5 linked regions of the Ovis aries genome follow. The protein of the gene in region 5 interacts with the protein of the main gene of each other region in a pairwise test. Links are inferred from orthologs where the notes say so. Each region holds a gene or a part of one and is shown on either strand. Other genes may lie near its edges. The genes, in order: AGTRAP, LDAF1, TFIP11, TMEM239 and COQ8A.

Region 1 (4,290 bases), about 12 Mb from region 5:
ACCTGGGAAGCCCCGAGACAAGGCAGTCCCTGACTATTGTGCAGTCAGGTTCCGGAATTCTTAACCCTCATGCTATACTAACCCCCTGCACCCTCCTCCCAAGGGCCTTTTCTCACAAGCCCTCATGAACCCAAGTCTAGAACTTTCTAAACTCTCACAATGACGTTCCTTCAGCTCAGGACTTGCCTCATGTGTGGCATTGGGTTAGGAACTACCTGGAGGGCCCGGGGCAGCTGCTTCTGTTCACCTGGCACCACTGCCTACTGTGGGTGGGCTGGGCACAAGCAGGCACTGAGCCAATACCCCAGGAATGTGTGAAAGGAGGGCAAGGGTAGTGCAGGGTTGGGGGGTTGGGCATTTTCTGAGCTCCCAAGGGGTTCTGATCTCAGAATAGCCCACTTAGACTCCTGTGGGAGGCCAGAAAAAACAACAACAAAAACAGAACCCCTAGTTAATCTTTAATTTCAGATAATGAATAATTTTCTAGACTGTTCCAAATATTGCCTGGGATATAAGGTCCACTGGAGAAGGGATAGGATAACCCACTCCAGTATCCTGGGGCTTCCCTGGTGGCTCAGCTGTAAAGAATCCTCCTGCAATGTGGGAGATCTAGGTTCGATCCCTAGGTTGGGAAGATCCCCTGCAGAAGGGAAAGGCTACCCACTCCAGTATTCTGGCCTGGAGAATTCCATGGACTGTACAGTCCCTGGGGTCACAAAGAGTTGGACACGACTGAATGACTTTCACTTTTCATACTTAGATTAAAAAGTTATTCATTGTTGATATGAAATTCAAACTCAACTGGATGTCCTCAATGTCACCTGGCAACCCTAGCTGTTCACGACCTCTCAGCACTTACTTGTCTCTGATTGGTAGCAGCTAAGACCCTTAGAGATATGGTGTTTTATTTCCCAAGTCAAAGAAAGGACCAGCTATTTCACTGTGGGCAGTGAAAGCCGGCAAAGCTCACATCTGTGGTCACGTGTGGCCTGTGAGGCCCACAAAGTTTCTCCAAAAAAAAAAAAAAAAAAAGCCACAAACAGACTAAGCCCTCCCACTGGGCACTAACTGTCAAAGCAGAAGTTGGCCCTAACTAATGGTGGCCAGGAAAAGACAGAGCTTTGAAGTCTGACCGTGATGGGTTCAAATTCTGACTCTGCCACTTAATCTCTGTGGGGCCTTGACAAGTTACCTATCTGGTCTGAGCTGAAGTTGGCTCAGCTACAAAAATCTCAGAAGGTTGATACGACTAAATAAATAACCCGGCACACCACAGACGCCCTAAGAATTAGGGCTCACTCCCTCGTCAGTTCCTGCTCCTCTGTCCCTTTCCTCCTTCCCCCTTAATAATTATTTTAGGCAAGTCTCTAATCAGAGAAAAGGTAGTCGGCATTAACTGCACACAGCCTGGAACAGAGTGAATGTTGATACCAATGAACCTCAGTTGCCCTCGTGTAAATTTCTTCCCTGCTAAACCTTCAATCCAAGCCCATTCCCTTGTCACAGCCATCTCTCCCCCTGCAGCAGTTGACTGGAAGCCTCGGAGAGGTCTGCTGAAGCAAGTGTTCAATATTAAGGAAATGTGCCCACGTGAAGTCACAACACAGACCATGTCTAATAATCCAAATATGGATGATGTATTGTTCTGTAGTCATCTATCTCTTACTTTAGGACCAGACACCATGGGTGCATAATGCTTTGTCAAGGGTGAATAAGAGGGTACTCCTGCATACAATCTCAAAGGAAACTGTACCTAGGCCGCAGATGGCAGGTCTGGTCCAAGGCTAAAACCTTTCTGACCAAAGCTAAAGGCTTCAGCCTCTCAGTGGCAAACCCAGCCAAGAAACACTGGGCTGGAGGAGGGCGGGGAGAAAAAGAAGAACAGCCTTTGGCATTCTTACAGCTCAGGAAATGAAGACACCCCAGCGACCTACAGTGTTTTCCTAAATGTGCAAAGTTGGGGGATTCTGCTTTTGAGTAAATTCTATTGGTGTCTGTGTTGCTTAAGAAATAAAGACGTTGAATCTATCAACTCTGAAAAACCATCTGTCTGGGATCATTTGATTTCCTTAACTTGATCTTCCCAACAAGAGAGGCGGTAAGGGCAGTGTTGGGGGTCCAGGTGAAAGCTTTACCCCTCTCTCGGTGGAAGGCAGGTGTCCTGCCTCCAAGTCCAGCCTCGGGCTCTCCTTGGGTCCCTCCCCACCACGCTCTCCTCTTTCTCCAGAGAAATTCTGGGCGCGCAGGCCAAAGCGAGCCTCAGGGGCTCAGCGCTCCCAGCTGAACCGGTCTTAGGGAAGAGACGGCTGCTTCCCTCCTCCAGCTCCCTCTCGGTCTTTCCTGCTGGCCTTCTGGATCTGTCTTCCTGGTATGGTCTGTCCGCCCACCTCCTTACACCTGGGCTCTGTTCGTTCTCTTTCTCCCCACCACTCCACTTTCCCCAGATTCTCGGTCCTCTACCTCTAAAATCCTCACCTCTAAAATCACCTACTAAAAGCGCAAATACCCAACACGCTCCGGGAGACCCGCCCCGCCCATCGCCACCTTCAGGTTCACGGCTGGCAGCTCCATCGCGACCCAACCGGACAGCACCTGCGCCACAACCGCGGGGGCTCCTGGTCTCCGAACTCGGGAAACAAACTTGCCCAGCCCCGCCCCGCCGGCTGCCCTTTGCCAGAGCTCCAACCCCAGCTGGGCTGTGGGGGGGGGGTCACGTGAGTAGGTCATGTGACGACGGCCCGGTATCTAGGAGACGGCGTCGTGCTGCTTGAGCCTTCACTGCGCCACTGCCCAGGTAGTTACGGGGCGGGGCCGGGGACGGGGGCGGGGGCGGGCCGGGGCCGGGGCGGGGGCGGGGCCGGGGGCGGGGGCGGGGGCGGGGTGGCGGGCGGCTGGAGAATATCCAGATTTGTGTCGCAAAGGGCGCAATATCTCGCCGAGTTAAAATCCCAGCAGGTGGGCTGACGGGACCACCTGCAGCCAGGAGAACTTGGGGGAACCTCCAAGTACAATCTGCAGATGTGGTAACAGCTGGTGTCTCATCCCTGAGGGCACAGTCTCTCCTCCCTCCTTCCCCAGTGAAAGTGAAGACGGTTACCTACCTCATAGAATCCTTCTGAGGATGAATGAACTAATTCATGTTTGAAGAAAAAATACTGACACTTACTTTAAAGGTAAGGAAGACTTATTCAAGACTGTTGGGATCCCCTTGGGTCTGTCCCGCTGAGTGCTTATTCTTATTTCCAGGAGGGGAGAGACCACGTGGAAACCTGAAAGACTGGCTGGGTGGGTCCTAAGATCCTATCAAGATACAGACTCTAGATACAAAGAGCGGAGTTTTCCAGGTGGGTGTGGAGTCTGACACGACTGAGCGACTTCACTTTCACTTTTCACTTTTATGCATTGGAGAAGGAAATGGCAACCCACTGCAGTGTTCTTGCCTGGAGAATCGCAGGGACGGGGGAGCCTGGCGGGCTGCCGTCTATGGGGTTGCAGAGAGTCGGACACGACTGAGGCGCCTTAGCAGCAGCAGCAGTGGGGTCTTCTGCAAGGTCGCGGAGTCCGCTGGCCTATTTGAATGTCCCTTTTGGAGACACAGCTGTCCAGCCCCCTGAGCAGAATAGCACATCTGCCAGAGTAACAGAGAGCTGGTAAGCTTCAGAGACCGGACAGATAGCTACACTGGGCACGATTGTTGGGATTCAGAGCCCAGAGGACTAGCTGGACCAGAGAAAAGAGTTTGAGTCCTAACTTTGTCCACTTACTGGTTCTACTTGAGCAAGTCACTTTGCCTCTCTGTGCTTCAGTTTTCTGATCCGTAAAATGAGAGAAATAATAGTATCTTCCTTGAAGGATGGTTATTTTGAATTTGTTAATAAGGATTTGTTAATATGTAAAAATGTTTAGAACATTGCCTGGCAGACAGCCCTTGATCAGGACTTGCTACTGTTTTGATATTCATTATTAGTTAATTATCATAAATTATTGTTACTGGCATAGTACCTAGAAAAGAGGAATTCCTCAGTAACTAGTGGATATTATAACATTATTGTTTCCTTCTAAGAGATGTCTCCTATAAACCCTGGATCCTGCTGCTGCTGCTAAGTCACTTCAGTCGTGTCCGACTCTGTGCAACCCCGTAGATGGCAGCCCACTAGGCTCCCTCGTCACTGGGATTCTCCAGGCAAGAACACTGGAGTGGGTTGCCATTTCCTTCTCCAATGCAAGAAAGTGAAAAGTGAAAGTGAAGTCACTCAGTTGTAGAGGTGTTTAATCCAAGGATGTAGGTAT
Region 2 (4,076 bases), on a different chromosome or scaffold from region 5:
TGTTAACTGCTTAGTGTGATGATTATTTTGCAATATAAACAAATATCAAATCATACACCTGAACTAATACTTATATGTCATATGTTATATGCTAACTCTACTGCAATTAAAAAAAGGAAAAAAAGAAACCAAATAACCTTGAAAAAACATAGGTTAAAAAAAGGACAATACATTAAATATTTCTGGGCTCCTTCCATGTTCCTGATAGGTGCTAAGTTCTTTACAGCCATTATTGCACCAGTCCTCACTACAACCCTGTGATTGCTCTTCTCTTTCTTCAAGAGCTATTTTCCAGGGGGCTATTGACCCAAGTCACAGATGAAAGTAGATCAATACATGTCCCCAGATGGACGGAACCTGAGAACTGTGCAGTAGTGGACCGATTTCTCAAGTCTATCCTTCTCTCCATTTTACAGATGAAGTGGTTGCAGAGAGATAACTCTTCCATGGCCTCATAGTAAGAGTCTGACTTGGGACCAGAGTCTAGCACTGTTGGGTCCCGGTTCACTGTCTTCACCAATATGTTCTATGGCATTTGTTCTCAACCTAGACAACTGTGCAGGGAACATTTGCTCATGTTTGGTGACATTTTTGGTTGTTTGCAGGGAAGGAAAGTACTACTGGCATCTAGTGGTTGGAGGTCAGGCATGCTGCTAAACATCCTACAAGGCATAGGACAGTCCCCTCAACACAGAACTTTTCTGCCCAAAATGTCAATGGCGCTGTCCCTTGAAAAAACCCTACGATAGGGCTGGATTTCAGGTCAGGGAACATGCATTCTGGCTCTGGATTAGACGTTTTTATGTATAAAATGGAGATACTAATCTAACAGAGTTTTTAAGGATCTCATTGGCTCATGATGTTTGCATTTGAGAAGTAGTGGTGAAAACCTTCCAGTAAAGGAATCAGCTCATCACTTGTCTGTCCTGAGCTCCAGAGATGCTTCCAGAAGAGGTAGCTCAGGGTATTTAGGCAGAAGCCCTAAGACCCTGTGAAAACCCATTTATACCTGCCAGTTCACCTGTCTCAGAGATGGCCGGGGCACCCTCACCACAAGCCAAGAGTGTAGGAACGACAACTCTCTCTGCGCCTTAGTTTCCTCACGTGCTCCTCGTTCGGGTTTCTCCCGGAAGCTCCAAAATGCTGAAGGAGGCAGCCCTGGGAGAACTGCGGAGGCTGGAGCCGAGCGAAGGGCAGGGGCGGGGAAAGGAAGGGGAAGAGCGGGGCGGGGCCACGCGGCGGAGGTGGGTAGCTGGCTGGGGCGCAGGCGAGGGCGGAGGCTCACGCGCCGACCCCACGGCTCCGTCAGCTCTCCTTTGCTCCTCCTGCACCACGGCCCCGGGGACCAGGTGAGAGCTCGGGCTTGGGGAACCGAGGGCCCCGGCTGGCTAGACCTCTGGGCCGGGCTGGACAAATGGAGGAGCGCGGGGGAGGAGGTGGGTTGAAAGGGGAGTCGGTGACATACACACACACACACACACACACACACACACACACACACGCACACACACACGCGGAGTCCCATCCTTCCCGGCCGCTGCTAGACACAAACACACACCCCCCTCCTACTAAGGGAGGTCTCATGCCTCCCCAGCCCCTGCGACACACACACTCCTACACCTGCTACTGCTTTCGGTAAAGGGTTGCCACCCCTATCCAACCCCGAAGACCCCTCCCTTTCTTGGGAAACCTGGTTGGGAAGTCTCCACACCTCCTCTTTAGGAATCATAAAAAAATGGATGCCCTCATCCCTACGGGGTCTCCCTGCCCCGTCGCTGCAGGAGGTACCAAAGGTGGATTCTCCTCCCCAAATTAATGACGGGGTACTCGGTGCGACTTCTCTCCATCCCGGCTGGAACGTTCAGGGTTTCCGTTTGTCCTGGGACGGGTGGGCGAGGAAGAGAGGGGGGCTTTTAGCGGGTGGGCCGTGGAAGGGAAAGGGCGGTTTGGCTTGTGTTTTCCTGGCTCAGCCCGGAAGGCCTGGAGAAGGCAGAAGGCGGGGAACTGTGCGGTGCGTCGGATTAAGGGGTTGCCCCCTTCCCTCCTCCTGAGACCTGTCTTTGCTTGAGGAGGCCCCTCCGAGGAGTGAGTGACTAGGGGGTCTGGGGATTGGTGGCCAGCTGATTGCATTTTATGGCTGTGGCCAATGGCTTTCTACCCACGCTATCCACATTGAACTTCCCAAACCGGTCCCGATGGCCCCTAGGTTTCCAAGGCCCTGGGAACCAGTGATGGGAGCTGGGCTTGTTCCTGCCCGTTGCAGATTTGAGATTAGGGGAGTTGAGTGCTGGGAACATGGCCAATTCTAATCTGTGCCAGCTGCAGCTTCAGAGACAGAATATAGGGATGAAGGGTCTAGTCCTGTCCAGTCCAGGGGATTCCTGTTTCACAAAAGGGATTGTAGCAGAGAATCTCTAGCTGGGTGATTAAAAATGTGCTTTAATTTGCTACTAGACCCTATTGGAGAAGGAAATGGCAGCCTACTCCAGTCTTCTTGCCTGGAGAATCCCATGGACAGAGGAGCCTGGCGGGCTGCAGTCCATGGGGTCGCAAAGAATCCGACATGACTTAGCAGCTAAACAACAACAGCAGACCCTATAGATATTAGGAGATGTGTCGTCCCTGGTGCCTCAGTGGTGAAGAATCTGCGTGGAATGCGGGAGACTATCCACACTGAACTTCCCAGACAGGTCCGGATGGCCCCTAGGTTTCCAAGGCCTTGGGAACCAGTGACTGTAGCTGGGCTTGTTTGTGCCTGTTACAGATTTGAGAGTAGGGAAGTTGAATCCCTAGGTTAGGAAGATCCCCTGGAGAAGAACTCCAGTATTCTTGCCTGGGAAATCCCATGGACAGAGAAGCCTGGCAGGCTACAGTCCATGGGGGTCCCAAGATTCCACATGATTTACCAATTAAACCACCATCATCACTTCCCATCTCGCATAATTACCATGTGGGATGTTGAGTATGGTAAATAAATATGAACGTCTCTCAGTTAATTTTGTCCACTGTGATAGAATCTTTTAGCACTTGTGCTATAGGTCAGGAGATAAGTTGTAAGGAATAATGGAAAAGATATCTCTGTGTCCAGCCCAGCCTTACAGTATTGTTCTGGAAAATATAAAATAATAATGTATTTGTTTATATAAAAATTAAAAAGGGTTTAAAAAATAGATATATAATTTAACAAACAGCTTTTATTATTGGGACCGTCCTGGAAATTCCAGGCCATTGAGTCACAGAGTATAATTGTGGCAAAGTTTGTCCCTCTCTTATTATGGAAATGAGACTTACAAGTAAATAGAGAGTAATTTATGGCATAATGTGATTGGGAGCCAACCTATTTAGTGTGGGTAGTAAATAAAGAAATTGGCCATGGTCATATGTTTGAGAAGGCTTTCTGGCAAAAAAAAAGGCAGTGGGACTCAAAATAGTGTCTTCAGCCTTACTTTCTTCTGTATTCTTTTCAGCATTTTATCAGGCTAAAAAAATAAACATAAGCTCTCAGAGATGATACCATTAACATTTTATTATATGTGCATCTAGATCTTTTATTTTACTGTGGATATATGTATATTATGGATATATACATAAAATGTAATAATCGGTATTTTATAATTTTTTCACATCATAGACATATTTTCATTAAATAAGTGTCAACATCATCTTAATGGCTATACAATACTCCATTGTATGCTGCTGCTGCTAAGTCGCTTCAGTCGTATCCGACTCTGTGCGACCCCATAGACGGTAGCCTACCAGGCTCCCCTGTTCCTGGGATTCTCCAGGCAAGAATACTGGAGTGTGTTGCCATTTCCTTCTCCAGTGCATGAAAGTGAAAAGTGAAAGTGAAGTTGCTCAGTCGTGTCCGACTCCTCGCGACCCCATGGAATGCAGCCTACCAGGCTCCTCCGTCCATGGGATTTTTCAGGCAGGAGTGCTGGAGTGGGGTGCCATTGCCTTCTCCGACTCCATTGTATGAATTTATCATTATTTAGCCTGGAAACTCAGGTTCCTGGAAAATAAATTTTTGGGTCAAGGTGTGTACAATTTGATATTTTGGTGGATACTGCCTGGTT
Region 3 (3,509 bases), on a different chromosome or scaffold from region 5:
GTCTTCCTACGTTTACATTCCAGTCCCGTGTGATGAAAAGGGCATCTTTTTTTGGTGTTAGTTCTAGAAGGTCTTATAGGTCATCATAGAACTGTTCAACTTCAGCTTCTTCAGCATTACTGGTCGAGGCATAGACTTGGATTACTGTGATATTGAATGGTTTGCCTTGGAAACGAAGAGAGATCATTCTGTCATTTTAGAGGTTGCACCCAAGTACTGCATTTCAGACTCTTTTTTTGACTATGATGGCTACCTCATTTCTTTTAAGGATTCTTGCCCACAGTAGTAGATATAATGGTCATCTGAATTAAATACACCCATTCCAGTCCATTTTAGTTCATTGATTCCTGAAATGTCAGTGTTCACTCTTGCCATCTCCTGTTTGACGGCTTCCTATTTATGTTTATTATCATCAGTTGTTATGATTACTGATGTTTGAATGTATTCCTCCATTTTACTAGTACTATTAACAGGCTTTATTTCTTAAACCTTTTCCTGCCTTAATCGAATTTACCAAGTTACTGTTGTTTAATGTTAATTAACTTTTGGCCACACTGGGTCTTTGCTGTGCAGGCTTTCTCTAGCTGAGATGGGGCTGCCCTCTAGTTGCCATGTACAGGCTTCTCGTCGTGGGGGCTTCTTTAGTTGTGGAGCGTGGGCTAGAAGCCGCATGGGCTTAGTTGCCCATGGCATGTGGGATCTTCCCCGAGCTGAGACTGAACCTCTGTCCCCTGTGTGGGCAGCAGATTCTTAACCACTGGACGACCAGGGAAGTCCTCAAGTCATAGCTTTTGTTTTGAGGTTTTTTTTAATGTATTAACTAAAAGGAAAGGCGGACAGTCACATCATACTTAGAATTTTTAGTCAACTCTATGCCGTCATTGGTAAGTCTGAAGTCACAGAGTTGAGACATCAGGTCAAAGTGTCGAATGTGATTACAGGGGAGCCGGGTCTGGGGCACTGAGGACAGGAGTCAGCGCTGCTCTTTTGAAATGGATCCCATGAGGTGTGCTCTAAGGAGCTCTCCTGAGAGAGTTCTTACAGACCCCCTTGTGTTTGCCTGCAGGGCCCGCGACTACTCGGCCCCTGTCAACTTCATCAGCGCGGGGCTCAAGAAGGGGGCGGCAGAGGAGGCGGAGCTGGAGGACTCCGATGATGAAGAGAAACCCGTGAAGCAGGATGAATTTCCTAAGGATTTCGGACCAAAGAAGTTAAAAACGGTAGCATCTTTATTGAAGGGCTGTGACCTTTGTAATGTCCCCAGAAGGTCGCTGTGGCCCTGGCATCTGCTGGGGGCCGGTCATGTGGGCCTCTCCCTGTGGGAGCAGGTTTCCCAGGGGTGGCTGTGCCGGGCAGTCTTTGCACTGTCCGGAGACGTCCCTGGGGTCCTTGTGGTTCATAGGGTACTTCTCACAGAGCTCCGGGACTGCCCGGCCATGGTTGCATCAGCCGAGCTTGCTTGCTTAGGTTTTTCCTTCTTTGTTTTCAGGGTGGCAATTTTAAGCCCAGCCAGAAAGGTTTTGCAGGAGGAACCAAGTCTTTCATGGATTTCGGCAGCTGGGAAAGACACACAAAAGGAATCGGACAGAAGCTTCTTCAGAAAATGGGCTACGTGCCCGGAAGGGGCCTGGGGAAGAACGCTCAAGGTGTGGTGCCCCGCCCGTGGGCACTCGGGGGGCAGGCAGGGGCAGGGAGGGGCGCGCTCTGCCTTTGCTCTGCTTTGTTGCTTTTCTGCCAGAATGTGACAGTTGTGCTCTAAGCTCCGCACTTTATCAAAACTCAGGTTACATAAGATGCCATATTTCAGCATGGGGGAGGGGTCAGGCTTCATACAGCCTGATGGGCTGAAAACAAGCTTCTTTCTGGCCTGCCCAGTGTTTCTAAAAAGTCAGATCAGTTGCCAGTGTTTAAAAATCAGTTTCTCCTAGGTTGTAGATAAGCTACAGCTTAGGAGGTTGGCAGGGATTGAGTTAGCTGACAACTCCTGCCCCGGTCAGCCCCTACAGTTTACTTATTCTGCAAGCTGTCTCCACACCACAGCCCACTCTCCTTGTTCACGTTACTGTGCCTGGGCTCTGCTCACAAAGGGGCAGGATAGGTAGCTTAGCTGCATGAAGCATCCATGGACTTGAGTGAAGATTGGAAAGGTGGCCTGGAATGAGAGTGAAGGCTGTTCTAATTTGGGAGCTCAACAGTATGAGCTGGAAAGGGTCTGGTGGGAAGTTTGGGGTGGGGGCAATTCTTCACAGAAATGCTGTAGTCCTGTTTGTAAACTTTTTTACAAGAAAAATGCATTTATTTTCAAGGCGCAAACTAGTGTAGAGCAAAGCAAGCGTAAGAGATAGGAACTACCAATGTGAAATATTATACGAGTGTAATAAGTATGAGTGATGAGTGATTGTCACTCATTCGTGTCCGACTCTGTGACCCTATGGACTGGAGCCACCAGGCCCCTTTGCTCTGGAATTCTCCAGGCAAGCATCCTTGGGTGGGTTGCCATGCCCTTTTCCAGGGGATCTTCCCGACCCAGGGATCGAACCCTGGTCTCCTGCACTGCAGCCAGATTCTTTACCAGCTGAGCCACCAGGGAAGCGTGTGTATATATATAATATAATAAGAAAACAGATGGTGTTTAAATGGCGGCTCCCCCTCTCTTTAGTCAGAATCAACATACCCTTCCCGTAGTGATTGGCTTCCAGGCAAACAGCGTAGGCCAGAGTCGGTTATAACTACTCCCGTCTGGTAAGTGAGTGACCGCAGTGGAAGCGGCCCTCAGGGCCTGCGTGCGCTCCTGTTGGCACACTGCTCTGTGATACCGGCAGCAGGGCCAGGTGGGGCGGGCAGGAGCGGCTCCTCTCTGGGCGGTGTGCTGTCCCATGGGAGGACCAGGGAGCGGGTCTCCGCGCGTGGCACACCCACATGACGGCAATGACCGCAAGTCTGTCTCTCTGAAATCCATCAGGCATCATTAACCCAATCGAAGCCAAGCAGAGGAAGGGCAAAGGTGCGGTGGGGGCGTACGGCTCGGAGCGCACCACCCAGTCCCTGCAGGACTTCCCTGTGGTCGACTCGGAAGAGGAGGCCGAGGAGGTGGGTTGGGAGGCGGCCCTGCTGGCCTGTGCGCCTGTTGGTCGGGGTTGGTCTGTCTGCTCGTTCGTTAGCTCAGCCAGCGTCCGGGGTTCCGGGGTCGAGCTCACGCTGTGCACTAGCACGGGCCAGAGGCTGGTGTCCCACCATCAACAGGGAACACAGCATACAAGTAACCAGTGTGGTCAGAAATGGGGGTGTGGGGACAGGGTCTCGCCTTTGTAGGTGGGAGTGGGTGTCAGGCAGCCTCCTCGGAGGGGTCAGCATCACACAGCACCATTCTCAGCACGGAACCGTGTGGAGGTCTCAGCAGCCCTTTCATCTTCTGATGGACCATGTCCCTCTGACTCAGGAATTTCAGAAGGAGCTGAGCCAGTGGAGGAAAGACCCCAGCGGAAGCAAGAAGAAACCCAAGTATTCTT
Region 4 (4,163 bases), on a different chromosome or scaffold from region 5:
TAGAAGCAGGAGCAACTCCCGCCCCAAGGCCTCATTCCCATGCATGCCGGCCACATAGCGTACCTCAGGCTCTCCTGGGAACAAATAGGGGCTTGCAGCTGGCTCATGCACCTGCCCCTCCCTGCTGCTGTGCCCACCTCTTCCACCCCACCTGCCAGTACCCAGCTCATGCTCCCCGGGCTGGTCTGACATTTCCATCACATACAGCTTCAAGCCCTGGTGGCTCCTCCCGATGCTGTAGATGCGGGTGATGTTGGGGCATTGCTCGTTCACTTGCTTCATCAGCTGGGGGGTGAGTGTAGCATGGTGAGGGGCATGGGAGGAGCAGACCCAGGGCTCAGACCACACGAGGCCATAGAAGGACTTCAAAAGTTTGCGAGGGCCCATACGATGGGGACACCATTGGCGCAATACAGGAGGGGGCAGGAGCCAAGGAAGGAACGGTCAGAATAAGAGAGGCACCAAAGCAAGGGAAATCGTAGAAGTTTAGGGGTCAAAAAGAGGGTGAGATGGAGAGGGACACGAGGGCAATCATAGCAAGTTATGCCCTGGTGGGCAGGAGACCTGAGATGAGCAGATCCTCCCTCCTGGGTCATAGGGGTTACCTTCCTCATGGCTTTATAATCATGATGCCGGAAGTCTAGTGAGTCGGAGGATCCCAGCACGGGAACCTCAGGGAACGGACCATTGGGATCTGGTAGAGGATGAGTTCACAGTAAATGGTGAATTCCCAGGGGAGGGTGTGCCCTGCCCAACTAACCCTTGTCTTTCTCCCCACCTGAGACTGGGCAGGCCAGAATCTCTGCCCGGAGGCAAGATGCACCTCCCTGGAGCCAGGTCTGGGGCAGCAGGCGAATGAAACGGGCCACCTGGGGCTCAGGCAGGAGATTTAGCACTGGTGTCTCTGGATCCGAATTGGCAGGAAATACCTGAGGGCATCAAGTCCTTTGTAAGGGCCGCTTGAACCCCGGCAGCCTGGCTCAGGGCCCAGGAAGATGCTCAGGCCTGTGAGCTCACTGAAAAACCCACCCTAGTGGGCTCAGCTAGACACTTGCTCTCTGCGTCAAACACAGATTGCTGCCCACATCCTTTGCTAACAGGCAGCCCTAGGCAGTCATCCTTTCCAGTTTAGTCACAGCTCATTAGACCAATATGGCCATGTGACTCAGCAGTAGGCAATCCTGAAGCTGGCCAGGATCCCACACTGTAGCCTGAGGAGATGAGAAGTGATGCAAGGACTGAGGCCCATCGCCAGAAGGGGTGTTCCAGCAGGAAGCTGTGGCATGACGAAGTATTTGGGAAGGATGCGGGCATGGTCCAAAGCAACCTGGCTCCTGAGGCTGTCTGCTGGGTGCCACCCACCCTTTCTCCTGGGATGCCAAAGTGGGCACCTGTGTCTTGTCCTCAGAGGAGTCCAAGCCCAGCCCAGCACCCTACAGTGGGCCAGGAGCCCAGCTCCCAGCATAGAGGGCCCCAGCCACCATGGGACTTCTCACCGCATCCATCCCGCTGCTGCGATTCTTACTCCCCCACCAGGTCTGACTGTCATTGCTGAACTGGACTTTGTATGAAGTGACCCAGTCATACCTGGCAGGAAAGGTGGGTAGAGATCATGGGTGGCCCCCAAGCCTCCCACCCCAGTCCTCCTGAGTCTGCCCATAACTTTCCTGGCCTGGAGCTGTCCTGCCTCACCTCCAGATGGAGTTCCTGCCCTGTGTGATAATGCCCGAGAAGCGGGTGAGGTGTCCAGCATCCACCTGAAGCCATGGCTCAGCATCCTGCTGCTCGGCACACCAGGCCCCATCAAAAAGATCACCATCTTCCAGGCCTGACTGTGGGCACGGGACGCAGCAATCAGAACTGGGTAGGCCTTAAGGGAAGGTGGGAGGGGCAGGGAAGAAGGTCCTAGGGGTTGCCTTGCTGACCTGGATGTTGAGCCGTCCTCTGTGTGGTCCAAGACCAAAGGATTGGCTGCTAGATGCGTAGAGCTGGTTATCTGAAACTCGCAGGGACTCCAGGCCCAAAGGGGGACAGTCTGGGACAGGGACAAATCAGTAAGTTGGGACCAGAGAAACAGTGGTCAGAGCAGGTGGAAAGCTGAACCCAAGCTTGCCCGTGTGGCCAAGAGCTACATTAGTTCATGTCCCAGAGACTGCAAGTCTGGGCAAGGCCCTTGGAGTGGTGGTACCTGGTTCTTGCTTCTCAGTGAGGTCAAGGGTCCCTGTAGGGCTGGTGGTCACTGAAGGCCTGGCAGTCACTGGGGGTCTGGGGTGAGTTAGCTTCTTTCGCTTCTTCGTGACAATCTTTTTCTTCTTGATGACTCGAATCCGGACATGCTGTTCTGAAGTCCCTGGAGACCAAACAGGCAGAGCAGCAGGGAAGGAAAGGATGGCAGGAAACCTCAAATGGAGCGGTCTACCACCCCAAGAAAACCTGCAAGTCCACAGAAGGCCCCACCACACGTATCCAAGGACCTTAGCATGGACTTTAAGGCCCTCAGTCTGACCCCAACCTACTGTTCCAGCCACTTCCTTGATTCCTTCTCCCCTCTGGTGTGACTACTTGCTTGGCCCTCACCAATAGAGGGCTACACTGCCACCAGGAACTACTTGCTTGCTCCAAAGAGCTGAAGTTAGTTCTTTAACTCCTTCTTTTCCTGGCTGTCCCCTTCCCTATCGTATATCCATCACCTTTGACTTTCTTTTCGAATTCCCATTCTTTCTTCACATCTCAGTCCAGATGCATTTCGGGGAGCCTTCCTTAGCTCCAGGCTCAGTCTCATGCCCTCAAAGCCTCTGTGCCACTTCCATCACTGTGCTGAGAGGTCCTGTCCTCAAACTCATGTCTGTCCAGGTTTTCCAGCTTTCCAGACTTGGACCCCTGCCCTGCCTGCCCTTCAGTATAAAGCATTCATGGCACAGGGCAGATGCCACTGGTTCCCCACTGAGATCCACAGCTGCCCACCCCACCCCCCACACACACACTGCACATAACTGTGTCAGGGGTTGGTACCTTTGCACATACTGTTTCCCTCTTGGCTGCGCTCCTCTTCAGCTCTTCCTAATTCAGAGCTACCTTTCAGAACCAGTTCCACCTGCCTCTCCCAAGAAGCCCTCTGAGGCTGCCAATCCCCGTGCTTTCCTCCTCTCTCTTGCCACCTCTGAGAAGCTGAGAAGTCCGGCAGCCTTCCTGGTCCCCACCCCAGGCAGAGCCGCGTCCCTCCAGGGCACCTGGCAGAGAGCGCTTCCTCCCTTCCCCTGTTCTTTCCTTTCAACCGCTGGCTCAAGCCCACACAGTCTTGCTCTGCACCCTCCTCGGTGTCTTTGCACCTCTCTCTACCCTCCTCCTGGCTCTAGCCTCAGTTTCCCCATCCGAGAAACAAGAAAGTTTGGGGCTGGAAGAAGCAGCATCCCACTGGCTCCTGTCCCAGGACTGCTGACTTGGTCTGGCCGGGAACTAGGGCTGCTGAGTCAGCAGCCATTGTACCGCGCAGGGAGTGTGTGCGCGTGGGGCAGAGTCGCCACCCAGGCGCTAGGCAGAGTGCGGCGTGTGTGGCGTGTGTGAGGTGTGTGCGCGCGTGCTGGGGAGGGGTCGCCACACGGGGGTCGGAAGAGTGGGACAACCGATTAGCGGGAGAAGCGGGCCGTGGGTAGGACGGAAGCTCACCTTTCTCCTTCCCCGCGGACGGCTGAGCCGGGCTGCTACGGGGGGTCGGGACCGGGGCCTTGGTGGTCGCCAGGCCCAGCACGGAGGTGCTGGGCGCCCCTAGATCCACCTCGACGGCAGGCGCGAAGGCGGCCAAGGCGAGCAGGAGACCCCACATGGCGGGGTCCAGGGCGCGGACGCACTGGTCTCGCGGCGGCCGGTGGGCTCGCCTTTTCCTGCTGGGGCTCCGGAGCCCCCCGCCCCTTCCTGCCGCCGCTGCACGCCCGCCCACAGCCGGCTCGCTGGCCTCGGACCCGGGAGCCGAGGGGTTGGGAGGGGAGGGGAGGAAGAGAAGGGAGGAGCAAGGGGAGGGCCCAGGCTGGCCGCCCCGGGTCTCCGCACCCACCGACCCTGCCCTCATCTCCACTCCCCCCGCCCCTCCGCATCCGCCCTCGAGCTCCCGCCTCGCTCGGGCTCTGCCCTTTACCGTCGCAAAGGCCCCAGGCTCCCTGGATTCT
Region 5 (4,274 bases):
ACAGGCAAATAACCCCAAACACTGCTAGGGCCACTGCTAGGGCACGCCGGCCTGAGGCGTGGGAGGCCGGCCAATGCTGCCAGCCCAAAGCGAAACGCAAGTGGGCGGGGCCGGGCGCCGGAGGCGGACGTGCCTTCAGCAGGCCCGCAAGGCTTCCCAGCTCTGTGAGTCCCTTCTGGGGAACCGGGAGAGGGCTCCTCTCCTCATTACATAACGGCCTGAGCGGAGCGGGCCCGCTGTAGTCGCGACGGCTCCTTCCTCCGCCTCTACAAAGCCCGGGGAGTACCAGCCCGGGACAAGACAGCCGACAGCGGTCACCGCAGCTGCGTTTGCCGTCCCGTCTGGAGAAGGCAGAGGTCTCCGGGCACACGCGAGATGTCTCTCTAAACCCAATGCGTGGTCCTCAGTCCGGCTTTTTCAACTAGGGGAGAGAGCAGCAGCGAGGGGGAAGAATGGGAGGGGCCCTGCGCGCTGAGGAGGTCTCCCATTGGCTCCTCTCTCTCCGCTCTCAGACCCCATTGGCCGCGGGTCGAGCGCACGGGCCGAGCACGCTGCCCCGCGACGCGCGGCGTTGGGCTGAGGCGGCGGCGCAGCCAATGGGAGTGGCCCGCGGGGCAGGGCTGAGGGCTCTGGGTCTCCGGGCGCGGGCGAGTTGGTAAACAGATCCGGAGCGCGTGCCGGGCGCCAGCGCTGAGGCGAGCGCGCGGAGGTTGCGCGAAGGTGACCGCGGATCCTAGCTTCCTGCAGCCGGGTAAGGCTGCTGCCCGCCGGCCGCCGCGTGCCCTGGGCGCCGCCTGCCTGAGGCCAGAGCAGGGCTAACCTCCCGCTTGGGCCCTTCTTGCATCCTCAAGTGACAGCGCGGCTTCCCCTTTGCGAGTTTCATTTGCCCCGAGTTCCGGGCCACGGCGCGGTGGGCGCGCTTCAGAGTGCAGGGTGGGCGCCTACGGCTGTCTGCTACCCCCGTTCCCACAGCCCATATCTGTCTCGGGGAGGGTGTGAAGGCTCCCTGCCAAAGCCTTGGGTCCTCGGAACTCGCCTAGCAGCCCTGGTGACCTGATGCCTTGTTTCTTGGTCGCCAGTACTGCTTTCCTGCCTCGCTTTCTTACGATGACATTTCTCTTCACGCCTAGACCCCTTTGCACTGTCTCAGGGGCGCTAATTGTCCCTGGCCTGAGGTTTGTGTCAGAACGTTGACGCCCTTGGCCCTAGCCAGCTGTTGGGTTTCACTGGTGAGGGTTTTGTATGAACATGGGAATGAGGGTCCTTTTTGGTTCTGTTCTCTGTTGGCTTTTCTTTGGCCCGTCCTCCTGCTTCTTCAAACACTGGGGTTCTTGTCAATGGTCGTGCCTTTCCCCAGTGCCTGCCCCTCTGCCAAACGGAGGCCGGTCCTCCCATGTACCTTGTGGGATGGGGAATACTGCTGGGGGGGCCGGTCTGGATGCTGGAACTCTCCATTTGGATGACAGGTGCCAGTCCTCTGAAGGCTGAGCGGCTTCTGTGCAGCCTTTCATCCTGGGTAGGGCCTGCAGCCCATTGGGAAACTCATCTATGCTCAGTTGGGCCTTGGGTGTGCGTGACAGAAGACTGAAGAGTTGGACCTGCCAGGCCTAACTTGCTGTTGAAGGATTTGAGGGTGCATGATGCCAGCTTGCCAGCTGTTATGCTGGCAGGAGGGCCCATCTCTGGAGAAGGTACAAAGCAGGAGGGTGCGGGGTGGGGGGGGGGACTGGTGATTCTCAGGGGAAACACCTTTATGATTGATGATGGCTTTGGGTATTTTCAACTTTGAAAATGATGCAGACAAAACAGGGTTATGATTTGGGGCCTGACCTTGGACAACTCAAAGGAAAAGTGAACCAAGGTGGTCTGAATGCTTCCCTGTGTGTCGCATAAGCCAGGGTTTCTCAATTTTCAGCAGCATCCCTGGCCTCTATCCATTAGATGCTAGTAGTACCCCGCTCATCTTCCCCCACTAGTTGTGGCAACCAAAATTGTCTCCACACATTGCCAGATGTCTCCTGGAGGACTCAGTCAACCTTGGTTGAGAACCACAGAGATAAAACTGTAAGAGTCTTCCTGTGCTGCCAGAGGCCCCCTGGGACCTGTCCATGAGCAGCTGAGAAGTTTAGGTAGCAGATAGCACTGTGCTCTCTGTCCTAAACCAATGATAGAAGCCATGTTGGTTGGCCTTCAAGGGAATTTCCTTACCCTCTTCTCCATACCTGGGGGGATAGGAGTGAGATAGGAAGTTAGAAACCTATGGGCATTAGCTGAATGCATGGCAGAGACTGAATCCAGAATACAAAAGAAGTGGGGATGCATACTAAGTCGCTTCAGTCGTGTCCGACTCTTTTCGACCCTATGCACTGTAGCCTCCTCTGTCCATGGGATTCTCCAGGTAGGACTACTGGAATGGGTTGCCATGCCCTTCTCCAGGGGATCTTCCCAACCCAAGGATCCAGCCCAGGTCTCATGTCTCCTGCATTGGCAGGTGGGTTCTTTACCACTAGTGCCACCTGGGAAGTCCAAAAGAAATGGGAGACTTGTGGTTTCTGTCTTTGGGGACTTTGCAAGACTGTGGGAGATATGCATGTGAAATAACCATGGGGTGGTTTGTAAACCGTGAGCAAAGAAGTTTAAGCTGTCAGTGCTGACTGAAAGGCCAGTTCAGTTTTCCATAAGTGGCTTTTGCAAAGGGATGCTTTGCTCATCCTCACTTATTTACTAAGACATCTATTACGTTTTATGATGTGAGAGGGGGCTAGGCCCATGTCTGCAGAGAGAAAGTGTCTGCATTTCAAACATGTATGTGGGTGTATTTACTTGTACCGTGTACACCTCCAGAAAGAGGCTACCCAGAAGTGTACTGGTGCAGAATGGACACATGCTTTTCCCGTTGATTAAAGCATCAGAGACAGTGTCAGAGACAATGAGCCATTTGTTTTTGCAGGGAAAGTCATTTTACTTCTGAGTCTAGAGTTTGTCTTCACTTTAACCCAGAATTTATGCCCCAAATTCCAAAGTCCCAAACTGATGGGGATGCCAAAAAGTGAAGAAACAATGATTATTGGACAGGAAAAACACCCCAAGTCCCTATCGTGGATTTCCTTTTCTTGTCATTGATTGGTCCTATGGGGATGTATCAGGATTTTCCCATAACACTCCTTGGTTTACTAGGGGGTCTTTTGGGTACCCTTTCTTGCCTGTAGAACAGAATCTGGACAGGGAGGTCAGTCTTCCTTTCTCAAAAAGAAGTTTAGAGAAGCTTATTATTGGGAAGCTCCAAACTCGGCAGGATGATTTTCCATCAAGAGCTGTGGACACTGAGTCATTATCTTTGTCAGTTGAAACAAGAGCTGTGTGCAAAATTAGACAGGAATATTTAGAGAGTTGTCTTGATCTGACAGTGGCATCTGGAAATAGTTCCAGCATTCTTGCTAAACAACAGCCAGGAACTTGGGAGAGCCAGAGAAAGAAGAGCCGGTGGGAGGGGGGAATGTGAGGGTCCTGCTCCATTAGGAGTTGTGCCCATGCAGGGAGAGGGAGTAGTGGGAATGGGGTCTGCTGACTCTGAAGCAGGGTCAGGACCCTGAGTGGGGTGCATCTGGGTGGGCTTCTCCCCACAACTTTCAAACCTGAGTGGTGTGTTAACAAGCATGTTGTTCATTGTGGGGTTATAGGCTCCTGAGCTCTTGACCTTTTTGCTTTGAGGTCATGGGCCTACAGTATATTTAAAGTTGGAAATGATCCTGAAAAAAATCTTTTTATTCTTCATACTTGAATATGACTTATTTTTTTTGTTCTGTCCATGCAGAGAAGGATTCATGAGAAAGTTGAGAGTTTTTCACTCAACTTGCCATTTCAGAGTATTGTAGATTCTCTAATAGTGACTGAGTTCTTGTCTCCAGAGCCCTCAGCTTGCTTTCAAAAACATTGTCCCATTTCCTTCTGGGTGGAGGGAGAGGGGCTGCGTTTGGTCCAAACCTGGGAAATCGTGTGTACCCTAAGGGTTGGTGCCCCTCCATGTCCTGCCCTGAAGAAAAGCCCTCTGTGACATTGTGGGTGGGCTTCCCAGGGGGCACTAGTGGTAAAGAACCCACCTGTCAACGCAGGAGATGTAAGAGATGTGGGTTCGATCCCTGGATTGGGAAGATCCCTTGGAGGAGGGCCCGGCAACCCACTCCAGTATCCTTGCCTGCATGGACAGAGGAGCCCGGTGGGCTACAGTCCATGGGGTTACAAAGAGTCGGACATGACTGTAGCACTTTAGCAGC

What was found.
Region 1: the proteins of COQ8A (region 5) and AGTRAP interact in binary tests that used the Homo sapiens proteins (3 or more experiments, as listed by UniProt). The two-hybrid records come from large-scale screens. The link is inferred for Ovis aries from reciprocal best matches to the Homo sapiens genes COQ8A and AGTRAP.
Region 2: the proteins of COQ8A (region 5) and LDAF1 interact in binary tests that used the Homo sapiens proteins (3 or more experiments, as listed by UniProt). The two-hybrid records come from large-scale screens. The link is inferred for Ovis aries from reciprocal best matches to the Homo sapiens genes COQ8A and LDAF1.
Region 3: the proteins of COQ8A (region 5) and TFIP11 interact in binary tests that used the Homo sapiens proteins (3 or more experiments, as listed by UniProt). The two-hybrid records come from large-scale screens. The link is inferred for Ovis aries from reciprocal best matches to the Homo sapiens genes COQ8A and TFIP11.
Region 4: the proteins of COQ8A (region 5) and TMEM239 interact in binary tests that used the Homo sapiens proteins (3 or more experiments, as listed by UniProt). The two-hybrid records come from large-scale screens. The link is inferred for Ovis aries from reciprocal best matches to the Homo sapiens genes COQ8A and TMEM239.

Annotation. Positions count from the first base shown.
Region 1 is NC_056065.1:41,204,310-41,208,599, forward strand, and holds the start of AGTRAP (type-1 angiotensin II receptor-associated protein), read right to left. Parts: upstream 2,803-4,290; 5' UTR 2,728-2,802; coding exon 2,593-2,727; exon of another isoform or gene 2,572-2,592; coding exon of another isoform or gene 2,545-2,571; intron 1-2,544. UniProt on the Homo sapiens protein: Appears to be a negative regulator of type-1 angiotensin II receptor-mediated signaling by regulating receptor internalization as well as mechanism of receptor desensitization such as phosphorylation.
Region 2 is NC_056077.1:19,455,661-19,459,736, forward strand, and holds the start of LDAF1 (lipid droplet assembly factor 1), read left to right. Parts: upstream 1-1,275; 5' UTR 1,276-1,436; intron 1,437-4,076. UniProt on the Homo sapiens protein: Plays an important role in the formation of lipid droplets (LD) which are storage organelles at the center of lipid and energy homeostasis. In association with BSCL2/seipin, defines the sites of LD formation in the endoplasmic reticulum.
Region 3 is NC_056070.1:66,361,925-66,365,433, reverse strand, and holds part of TFIP11 (tuftelin-interacting protein 11), read left to right. Parts: intron 1-1,066; coding exon 1,067-1,220; intron 1,221-1,489; coding exon 1,490-1,646; intron 1,647-2,962; coding exon 2,963-3,090; intron 3,091-3,439; coding exon 3,440-3,509. UniProt on the Homo sapiens protein: Involved in pre-mRNA splicing, specifically in spliceosome disassembly during late-stage splicing events. Intron turnover seems to proceed through reactions in two lariat-intron associated complexes termed Intron Large (IL) and Intron Small (IS).
Region 4 is NC_056066.1:52,098,499-52,102,661, reverse strand, and holds the start of TMEM239 (transmembrane protein 239), read left to right. Parts: upstream 1-1,360; 5' UTR 1,361-1,496; coding exon of another isoform or gene 1,497-1,587; 5' UTR 1,588-1,692; coding exon of another isoform or gene 1,693-1,832; 5' UTR 1,833-1,864; intron 1,865-1,925; coding exon of another isoform or gene 1,926-2,035; intron 2,036-2,188; coding exon of another isoform or gene 2,189-2,350; intron 2,351-3,666; coding exon of another isoform or gene 3,667-3,823; exon of another isoform or gene 3,824-3,886; intron 3,887-4,163. Other genes in the region: CPXM1 (probable carboxypeptidase X1), read right to left, coding at 1-74, 162-285, 606-694, 779-929, 1,497-1,587, 1,693-1,832, 1,926-2,035, 2,189-2,350 and 1 more.
Region 5 is NC_056065.1:29,192,187-29,196,460, forward strand, and holds the start of COQ8A (atypical kinase COQ8A, mitochondrial), read left to right. Parts: upstream 1-1,471; 5' UTR 1,472-1,637; coding exon 1,638-1,691; intron 1,692-4,274. UniProt on the Homo sapiens protein: Atypical kinase involved in the biosynthesis of coenzyme Q, also named ubiquinone, an essential lipid-soluble electron transporter for aerobic cellular respiration.